Mytilus edulis: one gene and its partner. The protein of the gene in region 1 interacts with the protein of each later gene in a pairwise test. Links are inferred from orthologs where the notes say so. Each region holds a gene or a part of one and is shown on either strand. Other genes may lie near its edges.

Region 1 (11,499 bases):
GCTAAAAATCTAAGCAACAAAATATCTCTTCATTATGATGCTTTATAAATCTTTAAAACTACTGCAAAAAAATAATATTAAATGTTGGTTCAAAGATAACAAGATACACAATGAATAAGGTAAAATGAAAGCTGACTCAACTGATTAGGAATTATATCAAATTATCCAACGTACCAATGTACCAACCTACCAATGAACCTGTAGAAGACTTACATATCATTCTGGACATCTCTGTGTTTATTGATAGTCTTGTCACAAGCAGGACAATGTCCTTTCATCAACATACAGTCGTTTATGGCTATGTCTTGTAAACTATCATTATTTACTGAAATTAATAAATAAATAAACAAATCCTTACAAACAATTTAAATATCAAATCTATTCCTGAAAATAAGATAACTATACAGTTCTATATTTCTAACATTTTTGCAAACATGTTTTTTTACTACTTTAACTTCTGAAATGTTCATTATATTAGTGAATTGATAGATTCAAAAATTTTTATGAACTTCTGCATTGGATTGCTGTCACTTATCTCATGTTATTCATATTCATAATAATGTGATACCTTTACAATGAAGGCTTTTCAACAACTGTCTTTATAATGACATTATAACAGTTATTGTATGTTTATGTTGTTTGAATTTGTCACCTTAAAAAGTGTTAACATTTTCACTGTGTTATTATTCTAATGTCAAGAAGCAGTTCAGAGTCATGCCATAGGTATAGTCAGATTTGCAAGAAAAATCAATATAGCTTTAGAATTAGAAAAAAAAGTTGTAACCTTTTTATTTTGCTTAAACATGATAAGAAAAGTTAATGTTTGTAAAGTATACAACTAAAATCAGTCACTAATGTTCTTAAGTCTTTAATTTACAAGGGACCATTACTGGCCTCATCTTTGCTTTTGTATAAAACCAACAATGAAAAAAAATGATTTTTTATGAAAAATATTTGTTTTGGACAATTTTGTGCACTTTACACACAAATGGGCTACAGTATCATGATTTTTATTCTATTACATTTCAAAACATGTTTAACCCCACCATATTCTGTATGTGCAAGTAATTCAGTGGTTGTCTTTTGTTGCTGTGTTACATATTTGTTTTTCATTCATTATTTTGTTTATAAATTAGGCTGTTAATTTTCTTGTTTGAATTATTTTACATTTGTCATTTCAAGGTCTTCATAGCTGACTTTATGATATTGGCTTTGCTCATTGTTGAAGACAATACATTGACCTATAATTGTTAATTTCTGTGTCATTTTTGTCTTCACTTACCACTGAGAAAAATCATAAATTGTCCAGAAACATCTTTGTACTTCACTTGAAGTTTTGGTGGCTGGTGAATACGTAAAGTTCTTGAGACTAAATTGGAAACAAAACATAAATTAAAACATTTTCAAATCTGAATTAAATATTCCTTTTCCACCAACATTGCAAAATCCATTTTCTGTTTTTATTATTTTGTTTTAATCCTGAATATGCATTAATTATCTGCCACTGGACATAATTCAAGGAGTTTTGTGGTTTATTTTGTAATTTCATACATTGTTTTCTTTTTCTTTTTATGCATGTATTTCAGTGTACAAACAATGTTGTATATATAATGTATGTATCTTTTTTATGATAAGGATACAATGATAGTTTGTCTTTTGTTCCTATAGATGGCTAATGGAAACGTTGTGTGCTTAAAAATTATTTTTGTGAGATCATTTGATTATTGTACCATATATGTGTATGTAACTGTTGTAATTAATATGACGCTGATGCATTGAAAATCTAATGTAAAAATGTTTAATCTTTAGCCTGTTTTGCTTTTAAATAAAGTATTATTATTAAAAATCAAATACCTGACTTTTGAGTATAAATCTTTTCTTTCTCTGGTAAAGGTTTAATGTCATCAACCTTCAACAAGAAATCACTTTCTCCTAACATTCTCTTTGGGCAAGGTATTGGCTTGACAATGGACACTGTCAAATAAATTTTTGTATCGCACGATGAAATATTATTTACTGTTGCTTCCAATGGAACAATAAATGTTTTGTCATCAACAAAATAAGGCTTCTTCTCCTGAAATTAGAAAACAATAAAGTAAAGTGAGTTCAAAATAACTCACATTAGCATGTGTTTTTAACTGCATTTAACATTGATCAAGGTCAATAGCTCAAAATTACAATGCAGCAATAGTGGTTTTGGTTGAAATGTGTAATTTATATATCTATCTTCATTCTTCACAAGACACATACATGACATATACACATTTGAACATGTGCTTGATATTTTGTATAAAATATCACATTATGTACATTAATTGTATGTTTTCCACATTTTCTTTTAATATATATTTTTTCTCCCAAAAATGAAGGAAAATTCACAACGCATGTATGGTATTTTAAAGCTTCAATAACATGAATAAGAAAGCAACTACACAACATAAAATCACTGATAATAGATCTATATAAACTTTGGTAATTTGTTCGGAATTCATGAGGAATTCTAGTATTTACTTCTTTAATACATTTTTTAACAATACCACTGGACACTTATCAAATGACAATCAATCATTTTATAACATTCCCTAATGATTTCCATAGAAAACACCTATATTGATGGTTGGAGCCAGTCCATGAATGTTTATATGGGGACAGAGTCCCCAATAACAGTAGAAAATTCAATAAAAAAAAATACGGGAAAATTTCCCGAATTTTTCATTGTACTAATGAACTCAAAATCGTTCAAATTTTTTTTGTCATGTTTTGAAATCCCGGACCTGCGCAGAAATGTACAATGTACTTCCTTTTTCCAGTCTCGTTTGTATGAAACTTTGAGTAAAATATATATTTATTAGTCTAGTATAAAATAGGAAGGAACGCGCAATACCAATTTCATTTTTAATAATTCCTTGATATGAAAAAACGTTACCTGATGATAGCGTTTCTTTGTTTACATTGCATATGACGTCATAATTTAAATAACGTCACAACTAAATCCCTAACAACAGAACCAAAATCGGAAACGTTACGGTATTTCCGTTTCTTTTTTTTAAAACAAATATTTAAGTTACAAAAAAATAATTCATACAGACTTCGTCCCCATTTACAGGTAATGCCTGCCTCATATTATTGACTAAAGTAGCTGAATTTATCTGAGCAACATGGAAAAGGCAACTAGTGCAGCAGGAGCTAACACTTTTACCAAAATAACAAAGTTTTTTTTATGTTTCTTTCTGATCAATCTTGAGTTTTCTCTAATGTGTTTCTTTAAGCCATAGATTATTATAGTATTAATGAATGGGTGTTTTTATAATAGCCCTGTTATATGTCCAAGGTCTGTAATAATGGTTGAGGAAGTCTGTAATGGCCCGAGGCAACGCCGAGGGCTATTACAGACATCCGAGGCAATTATTACTGACCGAGGACATATAACAGGGCCATTATAAAAACACTCATTTCTTAATACATTTATTAACCAACTGATCAAAAGTGTATGTGTTTGTGCTAACTTGATGTACTGTCTTACTCTTTTAATGACAATTTAGTTTGAACAAAATAATTTGTACTTCACCATTATAAAGCTTTAAATGTACCAAATATCCAAGATATTAAGTTGAAAGAGATATGTGTTAAAAAACAGGATGAACAGTGATCCCTTTATATGGTTTTTTAATGTTGGTTGCTGGTTACTAAATTGAATAAAATACAAAAAGGTATTATACTCTTTACAACTTAGTTTTATTAACTTTATTAAAAACCCTAACAGGGCTTAATACAGACAAACTGGGCATTAATACAGGGCCATTACAGAAAAACAGGGCCATTACAGACAAAACAGGGCCATTACAGAAAAACAGGGCCATTACAGAAAAAACAGGGCCATTACAGAAAAACAGGGCCATTACAGAAAAAACAGGGCCATTACAGAAAAACAGGGCCATTACAGAAAAAAACAGGGCCATTACAGAAAATATGTAATTTTTAATAAACAGTCACTTTTGGCAATAATGCACTTAGTTGGTTAATAATACTTTTAACAAAACTTCTTGTTTTTGATACAAACTATATTAAGGATCCAGACAAAGACTATTTTTTATATAATTAATTGTATTTACCAAATGAATATAAAATATGTTAATAAATATAACCATTATATGGAGACGAAGTCCCCAATTACGGTAGAAAAATCAATAAAAATTTATAAAAAATCTAAAATTCGGGAATATTTCCCGAATTTTTTATACTACTAATGAACTCAAAATCGTTAACTTTTTTTTTCAGATCTACTTCCGTTTCCGGTCTTGTTTGCATAAATAAACACAATGTGAAACCTGGAAAGATTTGTTCTTTAAAAAGATGCATAATTCCAAATACATGAAATATTAGATTTCATTGAAAAAATTAATTTGTATTTCTCTATGAATAAAAAGTTGCAAAAGACTTATCCAGAACTTGAATAATTTGTGAGATTGTAACCTCTGTCTCTGAAAATCACTATTTTCTGAAAAACAATCACTGATACCTAAATTTTTGCATCTTAAAGTTGTTTGTCATTTTGTATATGTTCCAGACCATATGAGTATTTGGACCGTACGCGTACGGTCCGGACCGTATATGTATACTCGTACGGTCCGACCATACGCGTACGGTCGGACCGTATGAGTATACGCGTACGGTCCAGCTGATCATACGTTTTGGGATCATGTGGGTTAAATTTAAACAAACATTTATCAAAATCTTTATTTTTAGTTATACAAATTGTTATTATTACAAAATAGCTGGCCGATGATAAAGTGAATAAGCGAACAATTGAAATTAAATATTTGCTTAATTGTATATCCGTGAATTATATTTTGTTACTCTGGCCGAAGGTGACACTTGCTTCTAATAAGAACTTCGTATTTTTTACATTTACATGTTTTGTTAATGCATGTTCCTTTGCGTATGCATTTCTTTTGTAAAGTTCATAAATATTCTAAAACAATTGTCCTCCCACATTATGTTTACTTCCGATATCTTCAATTTCAATGAGCATACTGAGCTGCAATTAATGAATAACTGGCCTGCAAAATACAGGAGATTAACAGATTAAATAAGCGTGATCTTTTTAAATAGTTAAAATATTAAGTTTTTATGTCAAATGCTGTTGAACTTTTTATATTAATTGGAGATATAAGTCATGTTGATCTGTTATATACATTTGTATCTAATAAGCTTGACCAACTTCTTAATATCTGTCAGACCGTACCCGTACGGTCCGACCGTATGCGTATTTTGAAAAAGTACGCATACAGTCCAGACCGTACGCGTACGGTCCAAATACTCATACGGTCTGGAACATATATACTAATCAATAAGACACTTGAAATTGTTCCCAATTAGTCCAAATAAGTTTTTGGATATTAAACTTATATGACAGCCCATTTTATTTGAAGATTCTTTGATACATGTAGGTCTTACAACTTTAGAAAATCAACTTACATGTAGTTTTAAATGTGTTTTTGTGTCAGCTGTGCTTTTAAACACATTGCACAAAAAGTAACTTTTATTGTAAGACAGTTCATTTTCGTCGATATTAGGTATATTTTTTGCAACGTGGAAATTGACGTGTCCATAAAGATTTTCAATTCTTTTTTTCCATTTATTAATGTTCCCATTCAAACACGAAGGAAAATTAACAATCACATTAACAAGATACGTTTTCCCAATATTTACACACTTAAATTTGTCACTGTATTGCACATCACTTCCATTTTGTTTCTGCTTCTCAAATATATGCAAAATTATGTTAGAAAGATCAGCATCTTCTTCCATGATCTGTGCTGTCTGCTAAAATCGTAGAGTACAGTGGTATTGCACCAATCAAGAAGTCCTTTCCCGAGACAGGAAGTCTAATTTATGACTATACAATTAATTGAAATTTGTGTTATTTGTGATTCATTTTCTTTTTCTAGTTTTAAATTATTTATAAAGAATACATAAAGAAAACACCGTATCACAAAAACAACTATCAAAATTGGTCGCAAAGACGTGGGAAGCTGTATGAGGATACTATCTGTTCAGTACTATCCTTGTAAAATCAAAACTTCCGGTTTCAATTTTCACATGGGTTGCATTGATTTTTAAGCCCTGTAAACATTTATTGGCCATTGAAAATGGCAACTTGGTCAATGAACCAGTATTTTCAAACAGTAAGTTTATGTTTTATAGGAAATGAAAAAAATCACTTTGCTCCTTAAAATATACTTGTTTATATTTAAACTGGAAAACAATTTTTTTACAAAAAAGAAAGAGTAAAAAATTATACATGATATATAATATATAAGAAAGACAAAGTGCTGACAAAGTTGTCCAAGACATAAAAAACATGGCTAAACAATTTAAGGTTCATCATAACAAACGGACAAATATGGCTGTATTTACATGCCAAAAATTACTCTGAGTACAGACTTACCTGTGCAGTTGGAAAAGTTTTAATGCCTGGCATCAACTAGATATAATAAAGTTAAATGCATTTTGTGTTTCAGAAAGATAAAATCTCTTTTGGATTTTTCCTTCGTGCAAAAGTTCTGAAAATTGACTAAGTTGTGGTACAACTATGAGATGCTCCCTCAGGTAAAAAAACGGTTTGTATTGTTTTGATTGTCCTTAATTGGCGGTATCGGGATTGTTCGTCCTGATTACATGTTCGCCCTAGGTTCGTTCGCACTGAGTCTGTTAGCCCTGATAGTCCGTTCGCCCTGGGTTCGTTCGCCCTATATTCATTTTATTTATGATATGTATATATTACATTAACGAACGAAATATATATATATATTTATATATTGAAATTCATGTATATCTATTAAAAGTTAAATACAGAATATTTGCCAAATTTATATTAATTAAATAAAGTTCTTGGCTGCATTGTTACACTTTATTTTATAATTACTTTTAATTACTGTTGATTGAATTTTGATTGCTGATTATAAGGTATCATTTGAAATCTTTGATATCACTGATTGTTATATGAATTGTCTTTGATGGATTAATAATGAAAATAACGTTTTTCTCAAATAAAATAGTCAGCTTGGATGGGTAAAAACACTGATGACAAGTGATCAATGTACAGCAGTGTGACTGTGTTTTTGGTATTTGTTTCACTTATAGTAATTCATATTAGTGCTTTTAAATATTCGTTTAGGAAATAAAGGTGTGCGAAGTACAGTTCGGAATTGATCTTGTATAACTGTTACTGAATATTTTTATATTGTTAAAATGTATCAATAAAGTTAAATTTAGACTTAGTCTTTAGTTGTTTTATGTCAAATATTTTGTAGTCTTTGAATTCACAGAAACTTATCCTCGTAGCAGCTTGAAGACAACAAGTCTTCAGTTGTTTCACATTTAAAAATATTGTAAATATTCGACCAAATTGTAGACTGACTTCACCAAATTCAATTATATACACACAACGCAACACTATACTAAAAAATAAAATCAGGGCGAACGGACTCGAGGCGAACAGGTATTAGGGCGAACAGAAACTAGGGCGAACCAGAATCAGGGCGGACGGACCCGGATTCTTAATTGGCATGGACAAGAGGTATCTTCACAACTGCAGTTGAGATAAAGAGTTCGTCTGAGTCAGTGAGTGGACAGTATCAAAGTAATGCAGGTGTTTGTTTATTTTTACACCTTCTGCAGAAAGGAAAAAAATGCCCAGCAAAAACCAAAAAAGATTTTATCTTTCTTTAACACAAAATGCATTTAACTTTTATATATCTAGTGGATGCTAGGCATTAAAACTTTCCAAACAGCACAGGTAAGTCTGTACACAGAGTAGTTTTTGAGGTGAAAATACGGCCATATTTGTCCAATTGTTATGATGAACCTTAAACAAAAAGACAACAATTTTTTCTAAAAAATGGAACAAAAACTACTTGACCATCACCATGATCACTGACAACTGACACTGTAAGCTGACTGTTAATATGAGGCAGGCATAACCTGTGAATGGGGAAGAAGTCTGTATGAATTATTTTTTTTGTGACTTAGATATTTGTTAAAAAAAAAAAAAAACGTAAATACTGTAACGTTTCCGATTTTGGTTCTGTTGTAAGTGATTTTACTTGTGAGTTATTTAAGTTATGACGTCATGTTCAATGTAAACAAAGAAACGCAATGCATCAGGTAACGTTCATTTATATCAAAGACAAAGAATTATTAAAAATGAAATATTGGTATTGTGTACCTTGAGTTCCAATATTTTACTAGACTACACAACGAGACCTGAAGAAGGAAGTTGATTTCTGCATTCTGGGCAAATGTGGGAATTAAAAAAAGGGACAAAAAGAATTTGAACGATTTTGAGTTTAGTAGTACAATGAAAATTTCAGGGTTTTCCCGATTTATTTTTTATTGATTTTTCTACTGTAATAGGGGACTTCGTCCCCATATGAATTGCCAAATGTTTAAATGTTCTACATATATTTAAAAAAATGTTAATAAGTTGTATAGCTAGTCATGCTAGTGTCAGTTAAATTTGCTTCCATACAGTTGGTTTTTTTCCTCATAGTTCTTCATTCCTGGCTTCAAAGCATTGAAAAACTAATGAAAACACAAAAGGTTCAAAATAGGGATCAGAGAGTGATCAATAGATTATCTCACAACTGCTTCTAGTGACCACACATTTATGACATTAAGATTTGTTGCTGGAAAAGATTTATTTAGAATTTTGGCTTTACACAAACATGCCTAATGTTAAACAGTTTATATGTAACCATCTTAGAATATTCAATATAAGAGATAATGACAAAGTATCTTTATTTTTAGTTAGATGATGCCTTACAAGAAAGAGATGGGTTGAAAACAGCAGTAAGTTATTGATTTTAGATGTAAATCTATTTTTGTAACAATTTCTGAGCAATAGTTAACAGAATATGTCCCTTTTTTACATGTAACATGTTGAAAATGAAAAAAGTTAATGTGAAATAGATTTTGATAAATAAATTTAGACAAGATGAGAAAAGTATTTTTCCTATTTTGCACATTAGCTAAAGTTTTTCATTACTCTTTTCTTTTCAATTTCATTTTAGTTTTTGCATGTGTGCATGTGAAGAAAAATTATTTAAAGTTATCAATAATTAGTCAATTTTTATACGCCTGTCAAAATTTTGACGGGACATATTATGGTATACAAATGTCCGGCGTCCGTCCGTCTGTCCGGCGTAAACATGTTGCACCGTAACTTGAGAACGACTTATCCCAATTTCATGAAACTTGATATTGTTGTTTCTTATGATGGTCAAATGATCTGTATACTATACTTTTTGATGAAAATTAGATTAAAACTTTTTGAGTTACCGGACTTTCTAAATAAAACAGGGGTGTGTTTTTTCCCATGTCCCGCCGTATCTCAAAAACAATTTATGATAATTGATTAAAACTTTACACACTTCTTAGTTATATTAATCTTAAGATCTGTATACTTTTTGGTGATGATACAAAATTTCATTTTTCAGTTATTGAGTATTTTGTAAAAAAGGAGGGTTCACATGTCACGCCCTATCTCAAAAACAATTTATGCTTATAGCTTTAAACTTTACACACTTCTTAGTTATATTAATCGTAAGATCTGTTTCCTTTTTGGTGATGATTCAAGATTTTATTTAAGAGTTATTGAGGGTTTTTTTGTTAAAAAAAATGTGTTTTCACATTTCGTGCTGTATCTCAAAGACAATATATGATTATTGTTTAAAACTTTACACACTTCTTAGTTATAATAATCTTAAGATCTGTATACTTTTTGGTGATGATTCAAAATTTTACTTAAGAGTTAATAAGTTTTTTGTTAAAAAAGGTGTGTTTTCATTTCACATGTCACCGTATCTCAGAAACTTATAATTTATGATTATTGCATAAAATAACGGGTGTATCATGCGCTCATGGCACAGCTGTTTATTGAACTTGTTAATGTACTGTACCCATAGTTTTTATGGTGAAGTACCAAAATCAATCAGAAGTTTTTAAAAATCTACAGCTAAATAATGAAGAAAAATTAACCAATGAACAGAATGAACCATTATGCAATCAATTTATTATATTTTGTTTGACATTTTTTCCAGGAATTACTGTCATTCCAACATCCACATATTCAAAATCCTCGACTACAGGTAGAGCATCCAGAATCTCAGGTCCAGAGAGTTTTTGATAGTCCATTTGATGAAATGATTGCTGCTCATTTAAGGTTAGTCTAGAAAAAAATATGAAGTGTAAAGGACAAAGCAAATTAAAAACAAACAAAGTTACAAACACACACATATAATTTATCAATACAGGTACTCATAAAAATTTTGATTTTGCCATGAAAATTAATTCCTGAAGTATATATGTAGCATTTATATTTACGGTTAGATCTTTTATACATGACAGTACTTTCAACACTGAGCATTAGCTGACACTGAACAGCACGCTATAAAGGGCCTCAAAAATAATTATATACATATTTTTATGACATTGTCTATAATCATAGTACTTACTACAATGTACGAATATCTAAATACTGTCATTTACATAACAAGAAAAACCAAAAAGACAAGAGTTCTTGATAGATTTTTCATTTTATTTTTGCAGATGTTGCTGGGCTGTTTCAAATCATGATTTTATTGAAGCATATGGCTGCCAATCTGTTGTTGCACAGTATCCTTCTTTAAACTTGTTGTTTTATCAATAAGAGGGGAACATGTTTGTTAAAAATATGTTTTTGATTTTCATCTAGCAGTAGAAAAGATCTTCAACATAGGCATAAATGAGTTGCAATGTTTAAAATTTTTAAAAATGATACTGAATGTATATTGTGTACGTACTATTTCACAAAAACTTTGTGGATTATTTTTTAGGAATATTTAAAAAGATGAAAACTATCACAAATTTACAAGCATTGTCCTTCGATCTTATGATTCTTCATTGACTTCATAATTTTTACTGTGACACCTGGAATTTAGCTTTCTATATGAATACATGGATCTGTTATTCAAACAGACATCTTTTATATTTCTGAATTCCAAAAAATATAACTCATGTGTATTATTATATGATATTTTAAAATGTTTGACTTTGAGTTGACAATCGTACAATTAGAATTTTCTAGTAATTACATTTAAAATGAGACCAAACATAAGATCAAAAGAGATAAGACTAAATAAAAAAGTAATTTGATTTTTGAAAAGCATATACATTTGTTTGTGCTCAATCTTGCTCAAGATTTTATATTTATTTATTCCTTAATTTAGATTAGAGCATTCAACAAGATATTTCAGAGTCAAAAGGATGAAAACTGGTCCCTGCCTATCATGTTTAATATATTTATAGATCTGAGATTGTTTGCCAACAGTGTAAGTATCATACAATTATAACAATAATTATAGCAAACTAGATTATAGCTTTTTTAAGAAATTATGTTTGACAAATCTGCTTCATGCCAGTTTAACCAATATGTATCTAATTAAAGCTAATTACTTT
Region 2 (11,334 bases), on another chromosome or scaffold:
GCATTGGTTTTACCGGCGTTCAGTAACTGTCAGCTGCAAACAAAAATGTCCAAATTTTGTCCGACTTATACGAGGGTCAAGACTAAATCCTCAGAATTTGGAGCTGAAAAGGGCATCCGACTTATAGTCGGATCGACTTATAGGCGAGTATCTACGGTATTGTTAAGAAAATACTAAGCTTCTTAATGATCAAAAGTAGTGTTTTTCAAACTGCTATATATTCAATGATTTTTTTTTATAAAGTGTGTGGTTCAAGTATTTTGAAATGTTTATATTTTTGTCAAAGGGTTAAAGTTTCTCAGTTACAAAAAACTTATGAAAAAACATTGTCAAAATCTGATAAAAATTAAACAAGCCAAATTAAATTCAATCAACGTGTTTGGTTTCACAATAAAACAGTATAACGTATTTTTTTGATGAATATTTCAACTACCAATGTTTTGACATCACCAATTAATTAATTATATTATGTACAATAGTGATTATTATACCAATTTTTTCTTTTTGGATTTTTTTTAACTTTTTATGCAAGTAGGGGCAAATATATGAATTTTTCATCATTAATATCCTAAATTATCCATTTAAAGGAACTACATGTACAATGTAGTTGTTTTTAAAATTGGTACCCAACTGACAAACTATAAGACTATCACCTTGGATATCATATGTTTCTTATATTCATAAAAACACTGACATACATGTACAAATGAAGAATTTCTGAATAATGCCTTGAATATACAAAATGTATAACCCCTAAAAATCTTATCTTTGTAACTTGGTTAGGGATCAAGATAGTGAGTGTTCAATTCAGAAAAATGAAATCAAAGTGTACTTTATTGGGAGAAACCATTTTATACCATGGTACACAATGTATCACCTTATTTTGCTCTTTAAGTTTTTACAAATCTCATTTTTAATCTGTACATTGATTGACTTTGGTGGCCTTTGACTGTTTTCTGCTTTGGTAGGGTTAATGTCTCTTTGAAACATTTCCCATTTACCATTTTAATTTTATTTAATTGCTTACCATTTTTTATGTGGTCCCCTCAGTCTCTCCAGCTCTTGTAATCTTTTCAGTTCTAAGTATCTATCTTCCTCAATGCGTAGTCTCTCCATTCTAAGTGATGCCAAGTCAGATACAAATGGAGATGTGTATAATGGTGATGACTTGCCTACAACATACATTTTGTAGTCATATACATGTAAAGTTTAATATTTCTATAAGAATAATTCTGCACTGTTTTGTTATTAAAACAAAATGGGCTAAAATTGTCATTTATCAGGAAAAGAAAGAATTATTTCGTAAATAGCTTCTGTTCACGAATTGCAATTATTTTTTTTTCTAAAATATAAGTTCTCATTTTATGGAGTGCATTTGAAGTTAGTAGACTGACTGGGTGGCTATTTCTATTGAAACAAATTTGTTAATAATGTATACATTTACATCCAAAGTTAGATGTACATGTAGATAAGGCCACACCAATTTAATTTCTTGTTCTACCGATTTTTGGACTCCAAAATTTGGGGCGAGCGAGCGATTTGAAAATTTTAATAAAAAAATATTTAATTTGAAAATTTTTGAGGCGAAGCTTGAAAAGTAAAGGCGAGCAATTATAATTTTTTTTTGTAAACATAAAATAGTAGGTTTTGACAATATTAAAACTTGATTTATCACTTGTACTTTGACATATCTTTAATTTCTGAAGTATTTTTGCCCTGTTCACCAAGAAATAATTAAATCTGGTCTATGTATGTGTAACTGACAATGAGACAATTCTCAATCCAAGTCATAATCAGTTTTGGGGCAACCCCTTAATGTTATAAATATCCCTTTTACCGTACATGTTTTATGAGGGATCAATATATAAAAATATAATATATTTGTTTGTACAAAAGGGCTCATATTTTCTCAAAGAACTATATATCTATCTGGTATTAAATGGTCAAAACATGTCCAAGAATTTTTGTAATATTCCTGGACTTTAACCATGTTAACACATTTACTTTAACAGTTTAATATTATTCAAAATAAGTGGACCCCTCTTTTAGAAAAAGTTGTTTAACATATGATGTACTAACTTTCCTCTTTTTGAGTACAAAATTCTAAGTTTTCAAAGGTTTTGTATAGAAGAACTATACAAATCCTTGGTATTTCTATTTTCTTTTCTACATCAGTAAAATGACACTTTGTTCTCAACCTGATAATAACAAACACAGGTCAAAGTACGGCCTTTTACACAGGGCTTTGATACAGACCAAACAGCAAGCTAAAAGGGAGTCAAAAATTATTAGCGTACACAATTCAAAAAACCAACGATCTAATTTATATATCCGAACCGGAAAATACCAATGAACCACATCAACAAATGATAACTGCTGAACGACAGGCCCCTGAATCAATCAGGACAGGTTGCATAAACATGCAGCGGCTATGGATAGTTTGTTTCGCCAGCATACAATATAATTGCAGTTGAAGGCAAATCCTTCAGAAGTTCTTTGTACTTTATTCTAACAACGAACATATTTTGATAGGGAATATTAGTAAGGGGGAAAGAAACCATTTTTTTGTTCTTGAAAGGTATTCCCGCTGTTATAAATTTACATCGGAGCACTCTCACTTTTGATAAATAGGTTTCATGCTAAAACAAATATTCTCACAGATATTTACACAGTGTGGTGGGGTGCTTTTATGTTTAAAATCGTTATATACAGGTTAGACTGTTATTTTAAAAACAAATGTTGATATCTTTTTATAATATTTACAAAAAAAAACGGTGCGGGGAATGGACATGATTACATTTCCGGATGCGGGAAGCGGGAATATAAAAAAAAAAAAAAATATTCTGTTTTGAAAAAAATAGGTGCGGGCGGGTCCGTCGAACAAGGAATCAAATTGGTGTGGCCTAAAAACAGACTAAAAGAAAGAAAGAAGATTAATTCTTACGTGTTGCAGGAGCCTCTGAACCCAATAGGTACATAGAATTGACACTATTTGGCTCATAGCTAGTCTTTACATATGATTTTGCTGTTCTAGGTCGTGGCTTGTTTTCAAGTTCTTCCAACTTCCTGTCTAAATCACTAAGTTCATAGGAGGCCTGTAATGTCACAGGAAAAAACTTCAATCCGTTTGAATCCCTATATTTCAATGAATAATTTCTTTCATCATCATTAAGCTGTCTTGTATCTTGAAGGGCTAGAGCAGCACCTAACGTTCCACTATTCTTTTGAGGTGACCTTGACCTTGAAGATGCTCCATATCGTGGCGATAATGAATATTCCTGACGGCTTAAGTGAACAGGTTTTGTATACCACAATTCCTTACCATCATCAACAGGAAGACCTCCAAAAGATTCAGTAAACAGCTTCCTGTCTCTAATTCTGTCATATTCTTCTTCTAAAGGAGTTTTGTGACTCAAACTGTAAGGCGAGTGATGACCAGAAAATGTCACACTTCTTCGCAATGTACTGTCTACATTTTTGCTAGTATTTTCCAAACTTTTGGCAAGATCTCCTAGTGACTCTGCATATTTTCTGTCGCGGTAATTATCCTCCTGATCTAATATGTGTTGACTTAATCGTGATGTTGTGTTTGTAATTCGAGAGTTCCTCAATCCTAAAGGCTTTTCACTGAAAGGACATATAAAAGAGAAAACTTTAATTATCAGGTGGCAGTTACATGTAATATTAGAGTGTATACTTTTACGTATTTTAAAAGTGATCAATAATATGGCCATTGATTGTTGTACTTGTGTTTTATTTGGCACGAAATTATGTTACATTTTATTGTCAAGAGTCCAATATCTTGGACATACACATTTCATGCATGGTGCAGCTTGTAACTTTAGTCAATAATAACAGCATTGTTTGACTCTTTCTTCGGCTTAGTAATCATCGCTGTCTTAGTCAATACCACTGTCCTTAAAGGGACGTCAATATATCACGATAATGACCAGTTTTTCAATAACTATTATGTAATGAAATGTGTGTTTTGACAATTGTTCTTTTCCACATGCTTTCTAAAGCTTATTTTTGATACATGAAGGATTTTTATACATGTACTACAAATATTTTTCAGTTTGAGCCAAACTTTATTTTATTTTTATAAAAATTTGACTTAAAATGAAACCAATTTTTTCTGATGATGTAATTATGTTATGTTTAAATGTAAAACGGCTAAATATGACCACATGGTTAATCATGAACTAAGTATCATCGACTTCTACATACATCTTTATATATATGTTAATGAAAGCAATCCTATCACAGTAGAATACATGTAGGTCAGATCCAAAATTTTTAGGAGGGGTTTGGGGGAATTCCAGGAACCAGTATAAAAGACTTTGAAGGATTCCTTGCTTAATTACATGTAAGGCACCAACACTTCGGTGCCATGATTTTCCCAGGACATCAAGAAATAATTTCCTAAGGTCAAGAACCGATTGATTTGTCAGGAAAAACTTGATTTTACAAGGTGTTACATACTACCTACCATAAAATGGTCGGATTATTCATATCCGACTAAACGGATTAAGACATCCATAAAAATAAGTCTCTACTCGTACTGTATACTACTTAAAATAATATTAAAAGTTTTAAGATAGCTGTGTTTAATCAATCAAAGTGCATTTAACTTCAGGCAATCGATTACCATGTCTTGTGGACGTAATTTTTCAAAAGGTAGACAACCTAATTTGTATACATTTTGTACAAGATATAAAATCAATTTTCTAACTTGTAATTTTATTGAGTATAAACGACCATATAGTATGTACATGTATATAACACCATGTCAAATCAAGTTTTCAGGTGAAAACAATCAGTCCTTGGAAATTTGATTAGTTCTTGCTATCCTATGAAAATCATGGTACATGTACCCCTACCGCCGGTACCTCGAATGACCGAATAACACTGTTAATATCAGAATAACACTTGTAATTCCCGAATAACACTTGTGATTTCAATATTAGCACATATTGGTGACTTTTAAACATTGATTATTAATTAATAGTATATTATCGATGTATTTTATAACTTATAAATGATTTACAGAAAGCAGATAAGTTCATAAAAAACTTTTAAAATTTAGTGTGTACATCGAATATGGCGACCACAGAAATCACAATGGCCGCCATGTTCGATGTACACACTAAATTTAAAATTTTCTTTATGAACTTATCTGCTTTTTGTAAATCATTTTTAAGTTATAAAATACATCGATGATACATTACTATTTAATAATTAATGTTCAAAAGTCACAAATATGTGATAATAATATGAGGCAGGCATAACCTGAGAATGGAGACGAAGTCCGTATGATTTTTTTTTTATGAATGTTAAAAAGAGAAACGAAAATACCGTAACGTTTCCGATTTTGGTTCTGTTGTTAAGGATTTAGTTGTGATGTTATAATGTCATATTCAATGTAAACAAAGAACGTTATGTTTCTGATTTTGGTTCTGTTGTTAGGGATTTTAGTTGTGACGTTATTAAAGTTATGACGTCATATTCAATGTAAACAAAGAAAAGCTATCATCATGTAACGTTTTTTTTTTTTTTTTTTTTATAACAAACAATTTTTAAAAATGAATCCTTTCTTCGACTGATAAATATACATTTTACAAAGTCTCATGCAAACAAGACCGGAAACGGAAGTAGATTTCTGTGCAGAACCGGAAATTCAAAAATTCGACAAAAAAAAATTGAACGATTTTGAGTTCATTAGTACAATTTCCTGATTTTTTTTTTTTTTTTTTTTTTTTTTTATTGAATTTTCTACTGTTATTGGGGTTCTGTTGTTAGGGATTTAGTTGTGACGTTATTTAAATTATGACGTCATATGCAATGTAAACAAAGAAACGCTATCATCAGGTAACGTTTTTTCATAACAAGGAATTATTAAAAATGAAATTAGTATTGCGCGTTCCTTCCTATTTTATACTAGACTGATAAATATATATTTTACTCAAAGTTTCATACAAACGAGACCAGAAAAAGGAAGTACATTGTACATTTCTGCGCAGGTCCGGGATTTCAAAACACGACAAAAAAAATTGAACGATTTGAGTTCATTAGTACATAGCTGCGAAAACGTAGCTCTTAAGGTCCTTTTGATGATTTTTGATATTTGCGGATACTAGATTCAACTGTTGTCAATATATATCAATTAAATTAATTTGCATTGAAGTCTATGGAAAATCTAGAGGATTCTTAGCCGCATCACCTCTCAACATTGTTTACATAACACAAATGCTAATCATTGATTGGTCAGTTACATGTTGTGATGTCACTGCAGATCTGAGATATTCTCATGATAATGATGTTTTGTACAGATTTATGACCCAAAAGAATTGGACAAAGGCATAAATCAAACATTGTCAATGATTCGGAATGGTTTATTTGAAGTTATGTCTACTTGGGATGTAGAAGTATCAAACCAAACCAGTATGACAATAACAGTAAAAGTCCTGTCAAGACTGGTAGCGATTGTTTTGATACTTGAATGTTTTGAGTTATCTCCACTTGTCAGGTGCTTGTTAACCCTTAATTTATTATGCATTAAAGAATATTGTCTACTACTGCTGAGAACGTATATTCAGTTTAATTTTTAAAAAGACCTGTATGAAGCTCTCTGTCCATGTAAAACAAAATCTTCATCGGGGTTAAGGAATTGTTGGCTTCTTGTAAATTCCCGCATGCTGAAATTCTTTTGTTTACGGAAGTAGATAGTTGGATACGACGCATGCGAAGAGCAAAGCAGTGCATCTGAATCTCTGAACCGCTCTAAGAAATTGATTTTTGAACGAACATACAAGTTTCAAGCGCACCTTGATCTCCGGTGTGGACATGCACATTTCCGTTCAACGATTTTGAAAGCGAAAGAAGACCTACGAAACACACTTACCAGACAAATAAAACAATGGCAGACCCCCAAAGATTTGATGGCATGTTGCTTGCTATGGCTCAGCAGTGTGATGGTGGAATACAGGAGGTACTTTAATTCATTTCACACAAATATTGGGTAACATGAAGAAAGTTGTGCTTGGAAGTAGAGATCCCAAATGGTCTAGAATGTTCTGCCTGGCTATCTATCACCCCCTCCCCTTTTCTCTCTCTCTTTCTCTTTAAACGACGTACATATATATATAGCCCCACAGGACGCAATTACGACTGGACACAATTACGAACGATTTCCAATGTTTGCCCTCTTAGATCATATTTATTTATATTTATCAATAAATGTTTTTATAAATAAAAACCCTATTAAAATTCCCTTGTTTTAATGATAATACAATTTATGTGCACTCGGTGAATGTTGATGACGATGACAAAATCATTCTGAAAATATTATAAGAACGGCAATCTGGCCTGCAAGTTATATAAAAAAAAATAAAGGTAAGTGCATATTGCCTTTTATTGTTAATATATTGAAAGAAAAATATCTCCTGATTCCGTTCATATGCGTGATGCCTTTTATCTTGCCCTAATAACCCCACAATTGACGTTTTTTAGACTCTTGTGACCAATTTTATGGTCTGACAAAAGAAAATATGTTAATTTTATTGAAAAGTGCAGAGAACTCCGAAAGAAATGTTGACCTATATAAAAAAGATTCATAGATGAATGATAAGTACACCACCAAAATGGATAAACTTGAATTTAGTGCTCCTTTAAAGGAGGAACTTACATAAAAACAAAAAAAATCAGAAATCTTTCCTTTACACATGACCGAAATTTCGTCTGCAACCACTGCTGAAGTATTTGAAGTTAAAAAACAAACTTGTGCATCTTATTTTCCTATGAAAATGTGTTTGAGATAAAGATTAATGTATGCTTTATCTATGTAGACTCTTGTCATTGATTTCTTCTGCAAGATATATCAATATAGTGCTGTTCGGAATTGGGTCCATATGTGGCTCACTGACCCGTAAAACGAGGTCACGCAAATCTTGCTAAAGTATCCTAACGTGAATAAAAATTTATGTGGAATATGATGCAAAATGGAAAGCCTTCATACAAAATTCTATGGTATAAACAATTCAAGAAAAGTAGTCTACATAAAAAAATATTAATCACAGTTCAAAAATCGTTCGTAATTGTGTCCGGTAAGGCTATAGATATTTACACATGTCTCAAAACCAGGGTACGAATTCTGCTGAGAAAATAATGCCTACACAAAATTGCAGACCTAACATAAAATTTGTTGGGTAAAATGACTTAGTATCAGTATTAATATCGGTTTTTATGACGATTGGCTGTCTTTCGAGGTCACCTTGATGGTTAATTGGGATCTCCTGTAGTTGGTGATCGCAATACTGGTATACACAATTATGTAGCTGTGAATCCGTAGCTCTTAGGTGCCCATGTTATTTTTGGACTATTTGCAGACCTTAGAGCTTCTGATTTTTCCTATTTCAAAATGTTCGGAATTGCGACCCAGGTTCATGTCTCACCTCCGGTATAATGTATTTCCCAAAAATTTATTGTTTATAATCCATGCAAAGCTTGTCCCTATATATAGTTCGTTTTGTTGAATATTTTTTTTTAAGATATGACGTACCTATTTAAGTTTGAATATTCATTTCCTTAAAACTATTATCTAATTATTCCCATTTGTATACATTCTCTGCCTTTTTTGTTCAGCCACATTGAATCTTGTGATGTCACGTGCAAGAAAAACAAGAAAATATAATATGACTAATGATATCTATTTTATGATAAAACTTGTTTTGATTTGCGATTAGAATTATGTGGTTAATCTATTGAGGACTTCCAATAGTTTTTCAGTTGGATGCTACCATTGAATAAATCTCTTAAAGTCTAGTAAAGTGTGAGATTTTATCAATTTTATACTGTAAAGCCTATCAGATTTGTTTCTCTTTAGATATACTGCTCCCAGGTTTTAGTACAAAAAAAAATGTATGTTATAAATCAAATTTGAGAATTTGAGAAAAATTGGTTAACATGAATTCGACAGTTAATGTCCATATAATAATGAGAATAACTCATAATGCATATTCACCTACCAAAATTACAAATGTCAAACTATTCAAACCAGATTTAGCTCAAACATGCAGTTGTCATAGTTTTCCAAAAACTATTCATGAAACATTGACTGTTTGAACAATATTGTTAAGTGTGTAATATTGTTCATGTAGATATGTGTATATATAATTATTCATATTGATTTTCTCATATTTTGCAGTTGATAAGTGCCTTCTTTAGTTTCTTATTAAGAAAGACAGACTTTTACACAGGAGGATTGAGAGGAGATGGAGAAAAGGTAAGACTAGATTTTTCATATAAATTATTTTTTCTAATTATAGAAAGGAATTAATTATGAAATTCTTCCCATGTATTTTTGCTGAAAGTTTTATTTGGGATTGATAAACAACATGAAAAAAATAGACAATAAATGCCATAGGTATATTTTAAAAACTCATAAGTAGAAAAACAAATTGACAATGCCATGACAAAAGAAAGAAAAGGACACAAAGACAAACAAGAGTAAACACAGCAGAGAAAATTAAATACCATGGGCAATTCAAAGGTGATCAAATTCTCACGAAATAATTTAAATGTGGATATGACAGTTTTCTGCTTCAAAATGTCAATTTTTGTTACTGGGACTCATTTTGTGAGCTTTTTACTCCTTGAAAATTGCCAAAAAAATTGCCTCAGTGGATGTCCTACATTAAACCAAGGTTTGCCTTCAGATCATATTACAATATAGATCTGACATTAATTAGGACAGCTTGTTTTAGTTAACACAAATGCTACAGTGAGTAAGAGTAGTTATTTGGGAAAGATTTCCCTTTGAACCCCCTTCTGTTGATAGAATAGGCATATACATTGTATATATGCAGGAGAATTCAAAAGGAAGTCTTACCATAATTGTGTTAGTATAATTAAATTTATGTCTTAATATAAATAAACCATTATAGGTCAATGTATGGTTTTCAACAGGGAGCCTTGGCTCACGCCGTTCTTATACATGATACAGTATGTAGCATAAGTTGTTTTACACAATTCTTTTTCTTGAAATATTTTTCTTAAAATGGAATACACATGCTTTCAGATTTAAGTCTTGACTTTTTTTCAGATGATTATGAATGCATTTAAACGTTACCAAGATATGGCAGAACAAAAAATGGCAGAGATAAAGAAGGAAAAAGATGAAGAGGAACAAAAGAGGAAAGATAGAATTGCCAAGAAAAAACAAAAGGAAGAAGAAGAGAGAAAGAAAATGGAAGAAGAGCCCAAAATTAAAGAAATTACAGACGAAGAAGCTGAAAAAATACAACAAGAAATAGAACAGGTGCTTAGTGTGGTCTTTGATAATGGTTTATTAAAGGGCTCAATGATGGTTCTGAGGATTCAATCTGTTTTCTTTGGTACCAGTTTTTTGTGGATCTAGAAATATATTTACATATGATTTTGTGGCTTTCCCAAAGTCTGCAAACTAGATCTAGAGTATAGAAAAAAATGGTATTTTGTTGAATATTTAAATGACTCCTTTACCATGTTTACCCTTTACAAACAAAATCCACAAAAATTGGTATCCTAAAAATAATAATAAATCCACAGTATTACATGTATACTGAAATTTTAATGGATTTTTCACACTAGAATTCAATCTTATGATTTTAATCTCTAGTTCACTGTTTTTTTTTTTTAATTTTTACTTCGCTTTAATATTCTTTGGCATATTCTTAAGTAAATATTTTATCTAAGACCTAATATATTAAACTCTTCAGTAAGATTTATAGCAAGCTCTTAATTTTATTTTTTCAATTGTTTAACAGAAAAAAGATGATAAAAAAGAAGAAAAACCTGTTGAGGAAGATAAGAAAGAAGAAACAAAAGAGGAAGAGAAAAAGGTTAGATTAAGACTCCTGCCATCTATTTTCAGGCGTGTTCATTATAGTGCTATAAATTAGATCATGTATGCAAAAAAAAGTTACAATATGATGCTTAATTTATACCAAACATAAAAGATGATATGACACCAGTAATACTGATGAAAAATAGAGGGAAGGTATTTGCCAACATTTTTTGGGATACGATTGCTTTCAAGCAATTTGTAGACTTATACCGGTGGCTCAGAGCAATTTCCCTCACGTCAATCGTTTTATTCTAAACATTAAGGAACATCTCAGATTCTTATGATTGTCTTGCTTTAAAAGGTAAAAACAAACAAAGGGATTGAACTTGAACAACTTTCCTATAATGTTCTTTTCATAATCTTCATGTTTGATAATTCCCTCGACTTCGATGCGTGTTTTAAACAACACGGAAAATCAGAATTTATATTTAGTATTGTTATAAATTTAGAAA

What was found.
Region 2: the proteins of PCI domain-containing protein 2-like (region 1) and nuclear migration protein nudC-like interact in binary tests that used the Drosophila melanogaster proteins (3 or more experiments, as listed by UniProt). The link is inferred for Mytilus edulis from reciprocal best matches to the Drosophila melanogaster genes PCID2 and nudC.

What each region holds. Positions count from the first base shown.
Region 1 is NC_092346.1:45,877,678-45,889,176, reverse strand, and holds the start of PCI domain-containing protein 2-like, read left to right. Parts: upstream 1-6,055; 5' UTR 6,056-6,152; coding exon 6,153-6,188; intron 6,189-8,811; coding exon 8,812-8,853; intron 8,854-10,103; coding exon 10,104-10,225; intron 10,226-10,611; coding exon 10,612-10,677; intron 10,678-11,275; coding exon 11,276-11,372; intron 11,373-11,499. Other genes in the region: trafficking protein particle complex subunit 14-like, read right to left, coding at 214-325, 1,283-1,369, 1,855-2,074, 5,479-5,811. UniProt on the Drosophila melanogaster protein: Required for the export of nuclear mRNAs and involved in mRNA trafficking in the cytoplasm.
Region 2 is NC_092353.1:36,782,895-36,794,228, forward strand, and holds the start of nuclear migration protein nudC-like, read left to right. Parts: upstream 1-6,755; 5' UTR 6,756-6,916; coding exon 6,917-6,988; intron 6,989-9,202; coding exon 9,203-9,280; intron 9,281-10,099; coding exon 10,100-10,315; intron 10,316-10,802; coding exon 10,803-10,877; intron 10,878-11,334. Other genes in the region: uncharacterized protein, read right to left, coding at 1,028-1,172, 2,945-3,627, 6,615-6,694. UniProt on the Drosophila melanogaster protein: Chaperone protein with functions in nuclear localization and cytoplasmic mRNA trafficking.